Linked DNA regions of Drosophila melanogaster. The protein of the gene in region 2 purifies or fractionates together with the protein of the main gene of each other region. This does not show direct contact. Each region holds a gene or a part of one and is shown on either strand. Other genes may lie near its edges.

Region 1 (5,615 bases), on a different chromosome or scaffold from region 2:
GTACGTGTGCACATATGTACATGCCGAAAACATTAATTAAGAGTTTGGTCTGTCAGGATTAACGGGTTAATAAAACTGGCATGCTAATAGTCATACATTTATATGCAATCAAATTAAATTTTTTTTCAATCAAACCACCCGCTCATTTTCTATCAACTTTAGCCTGCCACATTGTAGTCGCAATTAGTTTGCAGTTCGGGGATTCATAACGAAACTATTGCCGAATGTGGTACTAATATGATATCTTTTATATAAAAGCTTGATATATTAAAATGAACTTGATATGCAAACAATCGGTATTAATTGTAGTTAATTTCCAACAGTCATAATTGTGATATCTTTGACCAGATCCAGAGATATATCTTCTGATATAGTACGCATAGAAAGGCGAACTATCCTTCTTTATATAGAGAAATAAACATAGATAGCCTACTTCAGCTCGTGACGTCAAGAAGCTTCTATCTGTAATGGGGTTTCTAGGTTAGGAAGTCATCCTGGGATGTTAGCATAAAAGGCAATAACCCCACAAACTCGAAGGACAGTAAGACTTCCACAACATTGGCAGGTGTTTTATTCACTTTCAGGGATACTTTTCTAATCGGATCCTTTTTTTCGGTAATGTATAAATCTAGAAGTCATCTTTCAATGGATCTTAATGGTAAGATGTAAGCATTGTTTTTGACTTTGCTGCAATAATTTAGCACCAAGCTGAAATACATTTATCGTTTCAACAATATAAAGATGAGAGGTTAAAAAACAAGTGAAATGTTTGCTTATCAGTAAAACCGATGACTCACTGAAAAGGAACGAACTTTTTTGCCCAGCCCAAGTATTAATAAATAAACATGACGCACTAAAATATTTAATACTTATTCGAGAAATAATTTATAAAATGTAAAAGATAAGGCAACAGAAATGTTGAGTTCTTGTCAAATTGCATATTTCAACATTTTAATGTTGGCGCGCTTATTTGAATTTTCACTGCTATGTTCATAATTAAGGGTTGCACTGAAAACAAATCGATAAATATATAAAAAGAATGAAAAGAATAAAAAGAATGTTAAATGATTACAATATCGATTATTCAGTTTGGGGAAGGAGAAATGATTAATTTGCAGATACCTTTTTTTTTACTACAAATGATTGTATGAATAAAATACTCCCAAATTAATTGATTTTGATTATATATCGTTCGTATACATATGTTTTAATATTTATATAAACGGGATCTGCTGATTTTAAGAACATATGTATATACATGTTTATATATAATAAAAAAAGGTAAATGAATTCTGCGTGACTCAAAAGGTCACATTCACTTAGTTTTCATCATAAAGTTATACAATTTCGTTGTTATGGGTACATGGAATTTTGTGACTAACACTATTTATTACCATTAGCGTTTAAAATTCATGAAATTTGGATGCCTACTTGAGCTGTCAGGTGTTTTTCATTTTAACAATGGGATGACAACAGCACAATTGCTTAAATGAAATCATCAAAACGGATAATTTAATTACTTAGACAATTATTTCATCTAATATTGTAGTTATGCATAGAAGATATATACATATTTACATGTATATGTATCTTTGTACATATGTACATGTATTGTACAGATTAATGTCACGTACCGGCGAAACTTCAATTTGCTCAGAATATGACCTCTAAATTTTAATATTAATGAAATTGATGAATATGTATTTATGTGGGGATGTTAGGATTTTTCCATTTGCATTTACTTATGTACATATTTATGTACAATATAACCAATTGATGTTCATCAGACGTGCTCATATATGTGTATGTTTCGTGTGCCTATATATGCACGTATGTAATTGCCGGCAACTAAGCTCACAAGAAAGCTCAACTTCCGTCAACAAAATTGAGCAGGTGAAATGGCCATAAAAATATCCCAATAAACATTTGTCCGTATAAATTAAAAAATCCATATACTTTATAGGTCACTTTAACTGTCTAAGATCAGAAGTTTTTAAAGTTAAGCGTATCTTATGTACATATCTACTTATTATATTCATATAATGATGCTTGCAAAAAGTCTATTGGGTAGCATTGAGCTTTCACGTTACTGAGAGCAAAAGCTCTTTTTTATTGCGGTAGCCGCTCTCGAGCTTGACATGCACGTCCTTCATCTGACTTTGAACAATTTTTCGCCCGAGTTTTCGCCCATAGAAAGCGCTCAAAATTTCTCAGCCATCACAGTCGATTCCTTGCAAGCAAGCCGATAGGTAGTGTTTCCCTCAATTCCGCGGAAAACTTTCCAAGTACTAACTGCTTTACATATACATACATTACTTTCCAGATAAACAAAAAGTTAACCATGTCGAAGATTGGTATCAATGGATTTGGTCGCATCGGCCGCTTGGTTCTCCGCGCCGCCATTGATAAGGGCGCCAACGTTGTGGCCGTCAACGATCCCTTCATCGATGTGAACTACATGGTCTACCTGTTCAAGTTCGATTCGACCCACGGACGTTTTAAGGGCACCGTTGCCGCCGAGGGCGGTTTCCTGGTGGTCAACGGCCAGAAGATCACCGTCTTCAGCGAACGCGACCCGGCCAACATCAACTGGGCCAGCGCTGGTGCCGAATACATCGTGGAGTCCACTGGCGTGTTCACCACCATCGACAAGGCATCCACTCACTTGAAGGGCGGTGCCAAGAAGGTTATCATCTCGGCCCCATCCGCCGATGCTCCCATGTTCGTTTGCGGCGTCAACTTGGATGCCTACAAGCCCGACATGAAGGTGGTCTCCAACGCATCGTGCACCACCAACTGCTTGGCTCCTCTGGCCAAGGTGATCAACGACAACTTCGAGATCGTCGAGGGTCTGATGACCACCGTTCATGCCACCACCGCTACCCAGAAGACCGTCGATGGACCTTCCGGCAAGTTGTGGCGTGATGGACGTGGCGCTGCCCAGAACATCATTCCAGCTTCCACTGGAGCTGCCAAGGCCGTGGGCAAGGTTATCCCCGCCCTCAACGGTAAGCTCACCGGAATGGCATTCCGTGTGCCCACTCCCAACGTTTCCGTGGTCGATTTGACCGTGCGCTTGGGCAAGGGTGCGTCCTATGATGAAATTAAGGCCAAGGTTCAGGAGGCCGCCAACGGACCCCTGAAGGGTATCCTGGGATACACCGATGAGGAGGTCGTTTCTACCGATTTCCTCAGCGACACCCACTCGTCGGTGTTCGATGCCAAGGCTGGCATTTCGCTAAACGACAAGTTCGTGAAGCTGATCTCTTGGTACGACAACGAGTTTGGCTACTCCAACCGCGTCATCGACCTGATCAAGTACATGCAGAGCAAGGATTAAATGTGGAACACCAAGAACACTACCCACCCACACTCTACGTAAAAGTTAAAGATTAGGGCGCGGTAGAATGGGGTGAGACACTTCAGAAACGGCCTGAAAATGGCATCACATAACTTATATATATATTGCTCCCCGGTGGAGCATCACCTACATACATATGCGCTATGCTCTGAAATGCTACTGTTTTCGCTCTTCAATTACCAGCCACATTGGAAAATTATTAATATAATACATCCATTATACACATAAATATGTTTACTGTTGTTGAATAAAGTTTCACTCTGTGTGTAGTTTTAAAAATGCCGACTCATAAGCATTTAAATATTTATTTTTGCCTTTTTATTTGGTATAAACCGTTGAAATACCTAAAATAGTATGAGTATTACTTTAAATTGTTTTTTTCATTTGCTATATTTGGAAGTAATATATATATAACAGAAATGTGTCGATATTTTTTTTAAGTCGATTGGTTTTTGAATGATTACATAACTTGTTAAAGTTTTCAAATAATTTTAAATGAGCCTGATTCTATGGTATTGTTATCGGCAAAAATCGGGCTTTTACAGATTTCGATAAGAGCGACCTTAAACCCTTCAGTTGAAGCAATGTATAAACAGAAGTTATCGATATTTGGAGAGACTAACGGTGGCATATTGTCTGTGTAAGCCTGGCTTTTTGGATACATTTCTGAGAAAATAATGTTTCTCTGCCGATTTATATTTGCATAATTGGCAAATATAATCAAATATTTTGGTTGACTGCATCATTTCAACAGCACTTCACCATTATATCGTTATCGATATTTAATCGCTTGCTATACCGTCTTTTCGATTAATTTTCTCACACGGGCACACTAATTTTCAGAACATTTTAATACTGGCATGTAAATAAAATAATCAATTGATGAAACCTTAAAATAAAATGTGAATTATTCAACATGCAGTAGCAACAAACGGACACAAATCAGCATAAGAGTTCAAGACTTCTGGTTCTTGATGAATGTAAATGAAAGTTACCGAGTGAAAACGCCATAACTTGTGTAAAACTGACGGGGCGAACAAAGAGTATGTTTTCCGAGCGAATTTAACGATTGTGCAGTGTGTGTGTGGTACACATTTTCCCCAACGAAATATAATGAAACATAAGTGCATCGGGTAAAATCATCTCGAGTTCACATCTTACGTATGTGCGTAGTGAACATAAATCTGTATACATATTGGTATATACATATGTATGTATGTTGGAGATATACGTGCGGACGCTTTAATAATTAATATTTATAAACGGTGGCTAAACATTTCGAATATCTTTGTTAACATTATACCGTAACTTGTAATGTTTTTCAATGCAAATTGTACACATGTATAGAAATTTTAATAGATGTTCAGTTGCACATGTGCAACAGTGCGTTTCTCTATACATATGCTCATCTATTTTTGTGCATGTAATTTTAACATTTCAATGTTGTTCATGAATGAGTTTTGGAAAATATAGTCCAATTTAAATAGCGGTTAAAAATGCTGGAAAAAGTCTTGTAAGAATGTGTATTTGGCTGCAGATGTGAACTGTTTATACATACATATACATATGTACATATGGCACTGTCGTATTGGCAACTTCGTGTGTACATAAGAGTATATATGTGTGTATGTATTTTGTGGATTTAAGAGAAACGAAATATTAGAATGTAAAGTGCTTGCTTTTAATGGTTTCAAAAATGTAACAGTGGAAGTTTGTAAAAAGATTCATAATATTTCTACTTTTGCTTAACAAATTCCCTTCAAATGCAAAGCAAATGCTTGCTGTTACAGCTTTAAAATGTGATTTTCTTATTTTTCTAAGTGGGAATGTCCCATTTAGTTTCAAATATATACATACATATGTGGGTCAATGTAGCACCTACTCAAAAATCTATGTATGTACATAATATAATGGTCCCACTTTTCGTTGTTTATTTTGTCGATATGTTGCCATGTATGCGTGCATGTGTGTGCTAATTTATATCTTTTAAAACAATATCTTCCAGATAAACAACATTATTTAGGCTCGAAACAAATTTTTCAAGGCTAAACTTTCCTGCAAACATGAATAACTTTTGGGGGCTCTAGGATTTTAAGCTGGCCAATCGGTTGGCTTCTTATCAAAAACAGTAAACAATTGGATCTCGAAGACTGAATGCAATAGCACAGGTTTGTACTGGTTATTTAAATAAGGTATATGAAAAACTAAAATTAACAAGAGATTCTCTCCAAAAACATTAAAAATGCATGTCCTG
Region 2 (9,230 bases):
TACATATGCACATATTTCTGAGCAGTAGGTCTAGATATGTGCTTATATTGTATACATACACTTTAAAATTTTGCATACATTCCTGTCCAAGAATTTTTATTTCAGTTTTCCCCTCGTTTATTGTACATTATTTTCTGTAGTCTTTGTTAACTTTTTATATGTCTATGTCGTTTATGTTCGTAATTATCAAGTGCAGCGTTCAGGAGGAACAACGGCAGTGGATCGCCCCTTTTACAGAGCCGCTGGCAGGTTGCGCATGCGACCACACAGCATTGTTGCTCAGCGAAGCACCGAAATGGACCTAAACCCCCGATTTCGCTTCTTCGAGGGCAACGGACGCTTGTGCAACTGCCACTGGCTCAACGAAAGCCCCGAAAATCATCAATGTCTGTTGTTGTTGAGATACCGAGAGTAGAGAATACACACTGCTTAGCACGCGACACTTAATACCCATTCATTACACATGCACCAACGACGATGAAGTTTTGCCAAGTAGCTAAGTTTGTTGACCTGACCATCAAGTGCAGCTTTCACACCCTCATATAACTACTTAAAGAAAATATAGAAAAATGGAAATTAGTTTTGCAATTTAGGGGACTGCCGAACTGCCACCGTTTCCACCTGACGCTGCGCCATCATATCAGGCTCTAAAAATCAACACACCATGTTCAAACACACGACTAGCATACAGGAGCAGGAGCTACAGTAAATTTGAACCTTGTATTCGCATGTTCGCCAATGTTCATAGTGTATTCTTCAAGCTCATTTTCTAACCAAGTTACCAAGTTCAATATGATGAATAACTACAAGATTAGCAAACAAATACAAGTAGCATATGCGTTATTATATAACATCGAGTACTATATACATTACATGAAATACAAAATGCAAGAAAAATTACTTTTAAACAAAATTTATGTTGAATAAAAAACAGTATTTCCAAAAACTAAACTTAACTGTATAACAACTTCCTTTTGCAATGTTCTAATGATCCTAAAAACAAGACATGGGGTAAACTATTTTAAGAAATTCAATCTAGGACTTCAAATAAGTCTTAATTAAGTACACCCATATTCTTGATCAGCAGAGTCAACTTGCTCATGTTTGTATGAAAACCTAGAACATAAAAAAGCCAGAAGGTCTGGACTAAACTCGCAGATTCCTGTAACTTGGAAGCACCACGAGTTTGCTTTAGAAGATGCCTTTCCGTTGAACTAAAACTAGACGAGTAAAGCGTATCTCAAACATTGTATCTTCCGAACCAAAATAGTGCTGCATACTTTTCGGGATATGTCTTATTCAATGTAAGTAATACAAAAAGAAAAAAGGTAACTTCTTAAAACTTGTAATATTTGTCACAAATGAATGACGACTAGATTTGGCCATGTCTGTAACAATAAACGTACAAAATATTCGAAGTTGCAGAAATGGGGATCCAGCATTCGGATTTGGTTTTTTGTCAAACTTTTAAATATAGAATCGGACCACATCTTTTTAAGACCTTAAAAAACTGATTTGAAGTTAGACCCCTCATAATGCCAACTAAATTTGTTAAACAAAAATATGCCCCTATATGCCAATCAAATTTAAATACAATGCTTTCTCAGCGTTTCAGTTAAATACTTTGGGTTGTTTAATGGTTTTATACGTATACATGTGCTAAGTCCATGTATCTTATATTTCGTAAATCCATAGATTTTGTTCGACGAAACTTTGCTAAATGATATTGATCTTTCAAATATAACTTGTTAATTTCCTTTCATCGCCGTGGCAAATCCTTCGAGAGTGAGTACTACTTGTTAAACGCATATATGAGGAAAATTTATTGATGAATAATGCGAACATGCAAACGGAACACATCCCCGAATTCACACAAAGCATCTCTGTGGTATCTCTTTTGGTTTTTTATTTGTTGCATCAACTCCGCGGAACTCCAGCTACCTCACTGCAGGTCGTAGTAGTCGACGTTATTGGCGGTCAGATGTTCTCTATTAATTTGGAGCGTGCTGCTGTTTCCACTTCAAACTTTTATTAACATATATAGTATGGGTTTGCCGGTATATTGCAAACGGGAACTAAGTGTAGATTCGTGAATGATATCAGACTGGACTGCAAACGTTTAGTTTCTAGCATGTTTTTTTTACTCTCTCCTTTATTTGTTGGAATTTTTGAGTTTTATATAGGTGGAGTTTTCAAAATGACATTAATTCATAGGGGTGAGTTTTATATATAGTTCGACTGGCTGTTGCAGGTGCTGGTTTCGAATTTTTGGATGGGGATGCTAAAGGGCGGCTCCGTTTGTGTTCATCCTCATTTAGCCATCAACCAAGTTCTTACTCGCCATTCTTTTGTTCGTCCTCAGATTCGGATTCTGAAAGAGAATAGAATACAAAATGTTAGTATGGGGGCTTCAATTGGTACAAACTGAAAAGATGTGCAGCTCCGGTTATGCTGTCCAAATGATTATTGGCCAAATTTAACTATGGAAAGTTATCTGGACACCCAACCATTCAAATGCTTTGGCACAACTCCCCGCTTGGCTCAATCGAATGAAGCAACCATTCGGAGCTTTTATGAGGGGATTGTGCATGCGGACTAGGACAAATGCAGCTGTCCAAACGATTATTGGCCAAATTAACCACGGCATTGGGTTATATGGGCACCCAATCATTCTTTCGCTTTTGCATACTGTACATGAACCCTTTAAAACTGGTTCCTAATAATGGGAACACTTTAAAAGCTTGGTAAGAAGCATGCTCGGTGAAGTCAGCTATTTGTGTCCAAGTTTTCATTGGCCTTTGATGCTCGGATTTTGTGAGGCAACAAGGCAAGCAAAAACTCAAATGCTCTTGCAATTTTGTACAATGAAAATGTCATCCAGGACAAGACCATTCTCAAAAAGTGCACTGTGTAAAGTTTCGAAGGAAGCAAAATTTGAATATTTATATTGTCCAGGTTTTCATTGGCCTACGTTGTTCAGTGAATGGAAATCAACGAGGCAAGCAAAAAACCCAAATTTCTCTTGCAATTACGTACCAGAATCAAGCTATTTAAGACAAGACCATTCTCAAAAATTGCACGCTGATAACATTTATCAAAACATACTAACCTTCTTCGGCTGACTGAAGCCATTCGACAAACTTTCGCATTTGTTCAAGGAAATGCATTTTGCCCTTGTTTGAGTGGCCCTCCTTGTACCAGCGCAAGATGATCTCCTCGGACAGGACCTCGGTCTTGTAGAACAACAAAATGATTTTCTGGAAGGCCTTCATGAAGTTCATGTTCTCGTAGCAGAATTCCTGCACCTTCAAGATTAGGGCCAATTCCGAACGGTCGGTCGAGGCGAAAGCCTGCAACAGTGGGCAGTAGTTCTTCAGATGACGAACAGCCTGATCGGTAACCAGCTCCTCCTTCTTGTTCCATTCGCCCAATGACATGATGGTGGACCAAATCTGGTAAAGATCATACATGAGATTTAGTAAGGAAATCATCCAGTTGGATTATTTACGCATCGACTTACAATAACAATTATTTCATGATCGGGAATGTTGGTGCGCTGCGAGAAGTCCTTAATGTCTGAGGTTATCTCATTATATGGCTTCTCATCGTTGATATCATCGATGAGCGCCTGCTGCAACTCACGCTTCGCCTCCTGGCTAGCCTGAGCCTTATGTAGCTTGACGATCTCGTTAAGTTCTTTGTCAAGAAAAACTTGTTTAAAATATTCCTCAGTACGTTTGTTCGGTGGGAAAAAGTCCATAAGTCTGGAAAAACGTGAAAAAGTGGAACCATTATTAATAATTTAAGTTAACGCATTCAATAATCAACCTTAAATGACGTATTGAGGTGTACGAAATTAAATCAGCACCCAAATGAAGCGAAAGGTCATTTGCGAATTGGGTAAAACTCCGTCGAACTTTCTTACTCTAGGAATATCAATTAAAGATGCACAACTGGATCATTGAGTCATCTTCCTGAGAACATTCCGGGGCTAAAAACAAATCACAACTAAAAACTTACTTGCTTTCCAGTCCACCCTTCTTAAGCGCCTGAATCAGATATGCAATGCCCTTCTCTTGCTTGAACGTCTGGAACAGCTCTAGTAGAAACTCCAATGCAATGCCATCCTTGATTAGGTGCTCGTTGTTTAGTACCAGTAAAACATTTGGCGGTACAGAACCGTTGACTGTTGATCAAAAATAGGGTTAAATATAGGGTTAGTCAAATGTTTTCGCAAAACAAGTTTAGACGGCCGGCTAGCAATCCTGTCCTTGGGCTCGTGGCCCTTAGATGTGGTTAGTTCATCCAAGAGTCAGTATACCAAGTGAAGGATTACTTTAGCCCCTCAGCTGCAAGTTGAACAAGTGTTTATCGAAACAACTAATTGAAAGACCGAATGGGCAGACGCAAGCAATGCACAGGAGGAACAGGAACATAAATGTTAAGACTTACCTAACCAGAGCGCTGTCATACGCGCAAGCTTGATGCGTTCACTAGGAGTAAAGCCCTTTACGAATAATAGAACCTTTCCCATCTCCTCTTCGAACATTTTCTCAAGGTACTTGTACCGTCTGATGAGCTTGACAAATACCTGGAAAAGGTAAAGTGTGATTGCCCCTGTTAGCGGATGGTGAAATTTTACTGTGTTCTCACGCAGGAGGCTTTTGTATTTGTTGTTGCAACATTAGAAATCTTTAGATTGCTGGCGGTAGTAATTTTACAAAATAAAGACAAGTAAAATGTGGCTTTTTATTTTGCATATTTTGACACCGATTGAGTTGTTGAGATGCATAACCGGTTCTAATAATATGCACTTTGATTCAATAGCGTGACCTTCGCAGTGGTTGCATGCATATAGTATATATATATAGTGTTGAATAAAGAGTAGTTGTTGACACATAAGAAATCTTCAGAACGTTAGTGTTTAGGACAAACCAAAGACAAGTAAATGTGTTGATTGTTATTGCATATTCTTGACACCGATTACATTTTTGAAACTTTATAGTCAGCTCTAATGATATGCAGCCACTTCACGAATTTCATACTTTTAAGTGGATCCGAAGAAAATCATTTAGTAGTAAATAAACGTTTTAGCTTGGAAAACAACAAGAGCTCAACTTGTGTTGCAATCAAACCAATTTTCGTTTACTCATAATCATAATTTAAGTATGACCTGCTAAAAGATTACAAACCTGCTCATGGTTGCGCATGCTCTCCATGCTCTCGGGCGCATCGAAGATGCAGTAGCTTGTGCGCGGCTTTTCGCCATCCTGAGATATAGAACCACCAGGCACTGCAATTGAAACGAGGATGGAAAAGGGTCAGTGAAGAGACTAAACACATTACTTGCAGCGGAAAACTTACCTAGTAGACCTCCTGCAATCAATATGTCAAAGAGAACTTCACCGTAGCGACGATAGTCGAGCTTGTTGCCCGCGCTGTCTAGATATTTAGAGATTTGTTCCAGGTCGCCTTCAGTTTTTTCGAGACCAGCAATGACCGCATCACGGAATCCCGTTGGGTCATATTTTTCTCTTTCATCTCTTTTTCTGGTCTTGATGCGTTGACCCGATAGCACTGGTCTTTCAGTTTTTTGACTCATACAATAAATTGCTGCAAAGGTAAATGTGGATCAGAGATGGAAGCGGTTTTGGTTTGCCCCTGTAAGTTTTTATTTCTGACCAGACTAAATTATCATGGCCACTAGATTCATTTTTAGATTTATCTTAATTTTAGTGTAAGATGACTAAGGTGGTCTCCAAGCGGTGGAAAACCGTTCCCTGTATATGTATTCTCGTTGCGCTCATAATCAAACTACAACATTTTCACCTATGACCGGCGTTTAAGTGGAAACTCTAGTGAAAACTGAGCCTAAGAAAGCCTTAACCTAAAAATGCCAGCGTACATGTGCTTTAAACACACACATTCAAGAGCGGAGAACGGGCACACTTCACATCTCTTTTTAATTATCTCTCTTTTTCACACACACATACCCACTGTGCATTTTACAGTTTGATAATGTCGACAAAAGAAATAAAAAGAATTGAGAGGTGAGGCGACCAAGAAATCGACATAGAAACGCAGAATAAAGTGAAATTTTGACGTGGTTACTTGTGTTAGGTAGCGCGCTGGGGAAATGAGGTCATTGTGCATGTAGTGCACATAAAAACGCGCCGATGACTGTGTGCTAGTTGGCCGGGAAAATTGTCATAGCAGCGAAAACGCAAAAATTAAATTATCTAGGCTATCAAGTACACATTGGTACATATAAGGAACGGCAACTTACGCTTTCACCCAAGGATATTAAGTCTGGCCCTGTGTTTGCCGCTTCCGCGTGTCCTTGCAATCAATTGAAATCAGTCGTGTGCGAGTGTAGTGTGTATGTGTGTGTGTGTGTGCCTGTTGCTTTTTCACAACTAACGAACGTGCGAGAATATGTAATTTAATTTAACCTCACGAAGCGCTGGCTGGTTAATGCTTCTCACTCGAGTCGACGAAAAACAAAGAGACAGATGGCAGATCCCTTCTTTTCTTACCTCTCTTTTCTTATGAGCGAGCTTTTGCACGGTAAAATTGACACGCACGCACACACACAACAACAAAGAAAAGGGGAGAGCAAATAGAAAATATAATTTTTTGTAACGGAATTTACTTTTATGCCTTCAAAATAAACGTTAACAATTTTGCTCAGACTACGTCCGGAATTCTATTTTTAACAGCTATCACAATCGGTTACTAGGTATATGTGTTGTTTGCCTCGAATCCAGCGCCCCTCTGCTCGCACCACTTTGTTAAACGAAATTCGGAGAGCGAATGAGACGACACACGAGCGCACGAACGAAGCGGACGAGCCGAGAACGAAGACATGTGGTTCGGCGCCATTTTGAAGCGATACACTGACATGGCGAAAGCGGAATGATGGGCACAGGGAAAACGAAAATTAGGGGGAAACGGTGAGAAAAAATGTGGGATGGGGGTTCAAAGTGTGTATATTGCTGTCGCGCTTATTAAATAATGAGCAAGGTACAGTCGAACAAAGGCCGACGGCCACCAAATGATTTTTTGCATGAATATATGACTGCCCGATGACTAATCTGGCCTTAGGTACGCACGCAGTTCGTACATAACCCCTTTTCCAACGAAAGCGCAGACAAAGGATTGGTCAAGGCCAGAGAAATGACCAGGACCGCGATTTTACTCGCCCTATTTGTCTTTCTGTGTACTTAGGTCTACTCTAGCGCTATTTTTCACTCCTATACTTACGATTAAAACAAAAAAATCTGTTTTGCTGCGAATAAAAGTAACTTTTTGCGTAGCTGTTGGGCTGCTTCTTCTGGATGACTTGCGGTATGACCGTGGCCTGCTTCGTACGCAATGGTACAGAGCTCACTAAGGTGTCCAAAAGGTGGCAACATTTTGGTGAAGCTGTTGGCTGGCCCCACTAACCGGACCTGAAAATGGTGCAGCGCTGCCGGACATTTAACGGAATCAAAGATTCCACAAAAGTCATGTTTGCATTAACAAAATTCATATTTAACCTTAACAAATTCAACAAATTAAGTTAAGTCCATTTTAGTAGCGTTGCGAGGAGTTTATTTTCGAAAATACGCCTTTGTATATATTATATATTTTTCCTCCACTTTAAACAAAATCGAAAGGTGTCCATTTGTCAGCTATTTAAACAATATGGCATCGCCGCCTTACTTGCTCAGTAAGAAAATTTAACTGTTTTTTTTTTGCGCACCTGAAAGCGGCGATAGACATTGTTTACTTTTAGTTTATATTTACATTATCCAAAAGCCAAATGAACTTTGAGCAGGTCAATATACCAGAGAAACTAGTGCCGGACAACTATTTGCAACTGGGACTGGCTGCGCAACGCAGTAAGCAGCGCAGTTTTAAGGAGCTGCTCGAAAAGGTAATCAAACCGAAATTAAACCCAAATTAATTGATAACTCCATGGATAATTCTTCTTTTCAAGCGAAAGCTTCCGAAAAATGGTTGGTCCGATGAACGTATCGAGGAGCTGGTGCACATGCTGGCTTCCTTGGACAGCAATAACTATCCACATAAGGTCGGTTTAGGAGAGCGGGAGGCGCGTATAGCCTGCAGTAAGTAAGGGATCAGGAGGCGATATCCCCCGTAATGAATTTGTCATTCAGAACTCGTGGCTCGCCGTCACTACAACTTCGGTCATGGTATCGGCAGATCTGGAGACTTACTAGAGGCACAACCCAAGGCAGCTGGCTCTACGCTGCTCGCTCGTCTCACAAACGCCCTGATTCTGGACCTTATTCGGGGAATCGGACTGCCCAGCTGTGCTGGCTGCTTTTTGGTGCCAATGTGTACAGGCATGACATTGACTTTGTGCCTGCAGAGTCTTCGCAAGCGGCGACCCGGGGCGCGGTATGTGCTCTGGTCCCGCATCGATCAGAAGTCCTGCTTCAAGGCCATCACAGCAACGGGCTTGGTGCCGGTAGTCATCCCCTGCCTTATTAAAGGAGAGTCCCTGAACACGAACGTAGATTTATTCCGAGAAAAGATAAAGTCATTGGGAGTGGATAGCATCCTCTGCCTGTACACTACCACCAGTTGTTTTGCTCCACGAAACAGCGATGACATTGCCGAAGTATCCAAGTTGTCCAAACAATGGCAGATTCCCCATCTGGTCAATAATGCCTATGGATTGCAGGCAAAGGAAATCGTTAATCAGTTGGAGTGCGCCAATCGAGTCGGACGCATTGATTACTTCGTTCAGAGCAGCGACAAGAATTTGCTGGTGCCAGTGGGTAGTGCCATTGTGGCCAGCTTCAATGAGAGTGTGCTCCACGATGTGGCCAGTACTTATGCTGGGAGAGCTAGTGGTTCCCAGTCACTAGATGTCTTGATGACGCTACTCTCACTTGGGCGCAATGGCTTTCGATTGCTTTTCGATCAGCGGGGCGAGAACTTCAATTACCTGAGAGAGAACCTTAGGAAATTTGCAGAGCCACGCGGAGAGATTGTTATAGACAGCAGGTTTAACTCCATATCCTTGGCCATAACATTGGCCACTTTGGCTGGGGATCAGATGAAGAGCATCACCAAGCTTGGCTCCATGCTACACATGCGTGGAGTTTCCGGAGCAAGAGTGATAGTTCCTGGCCAAAATAAAACTATAGACGGGCATGAGTTTCTAGGCAAGTAATATTCACTATCGTCTTTGTTTTCCGACTAAAATTTAGAATATT

Evidence for each region. Proteins that work in one complex are often made in the same cells at the same time.
Region 1: the proteins of kra (region 2) and Gapdh2 purify together in Drosophila melanogaster (affinity purification with mass spectrometry, with the first as the bait; one large-scale study listed by BioGRID). This does not show direct contact.

Annotation. Positions count from the first base shown.
Region 1 is NC_004354.4:15,865,995-15,871,609, forward strand, and holds Gapdh2 (glyceraldehyde 3 phosphate dehydrogenase 2), read left to right. Parts: upstream 1-2,150; 5' UTR 2,151-2,249; intron 2,250-2,323; 5' UTR 2,324-2,341; coding exon 2,342-3,340; 3' UTR 3,341-3,667; downstream 3,668-5,615.
Region 2 is NT_033777.3:5,593,752-5,602,981, forward strand, and holds kra (krasavietz), read right to left. Parts: upstream 7,386-9,230; 5' UTR 7,264-7,385; intron 6,821-7,263; exon of another isoform or gene 6,287-6,820; intron 5,823-6,286; exon of another isoform or gene 5,614-5,822; 5' UTR 5,603-5,613; coding exon 5,365-5,602; intron 5,294-5,364; coding exon 5,193-5,293; intron 5,027-5,192; exon of another isoform or gene 4,887-5,026; intron 4,816-4,886; exon of another isoform or gene 4,672-4,815; intron 4,592-4,671; coding exon 4,453-4,591; intron 4,407-4,452; exon of another isoform or gene 4,264-4,406; intron 4,187-4,263; coding exon 4,021-4,186; intron 3,989-4,020; exon of another isoform or gene 3,845-3,988; intron 3,765-3,844; coding exon 3,521-3,764; intron 3,453-3,520; coding exon 3,110-3,452; intron 3,081-3,109; exon of another isoform or gene 2,946-3,080; intron 2,908-2,945; exon of another isoform or gene 2,775-2,907; intron 2,759-2,774; exon of another isoform or gene 2,609-2,758; intron 2,590-2,608; exon of another isoform or gene 2,450-2,589; intron 2,372-2,449; coding exon 2,334-2,371; 3' UTR 1,613-2,333; downstream 1-1,612. Other genes in the region: SecS (Sec synthetase), read left to right, coding at 7,805-7,918, 7,982-8,111, 8,163-9,179. UniProt on the Drosophila melanogaster protein: May be involved in memory formation.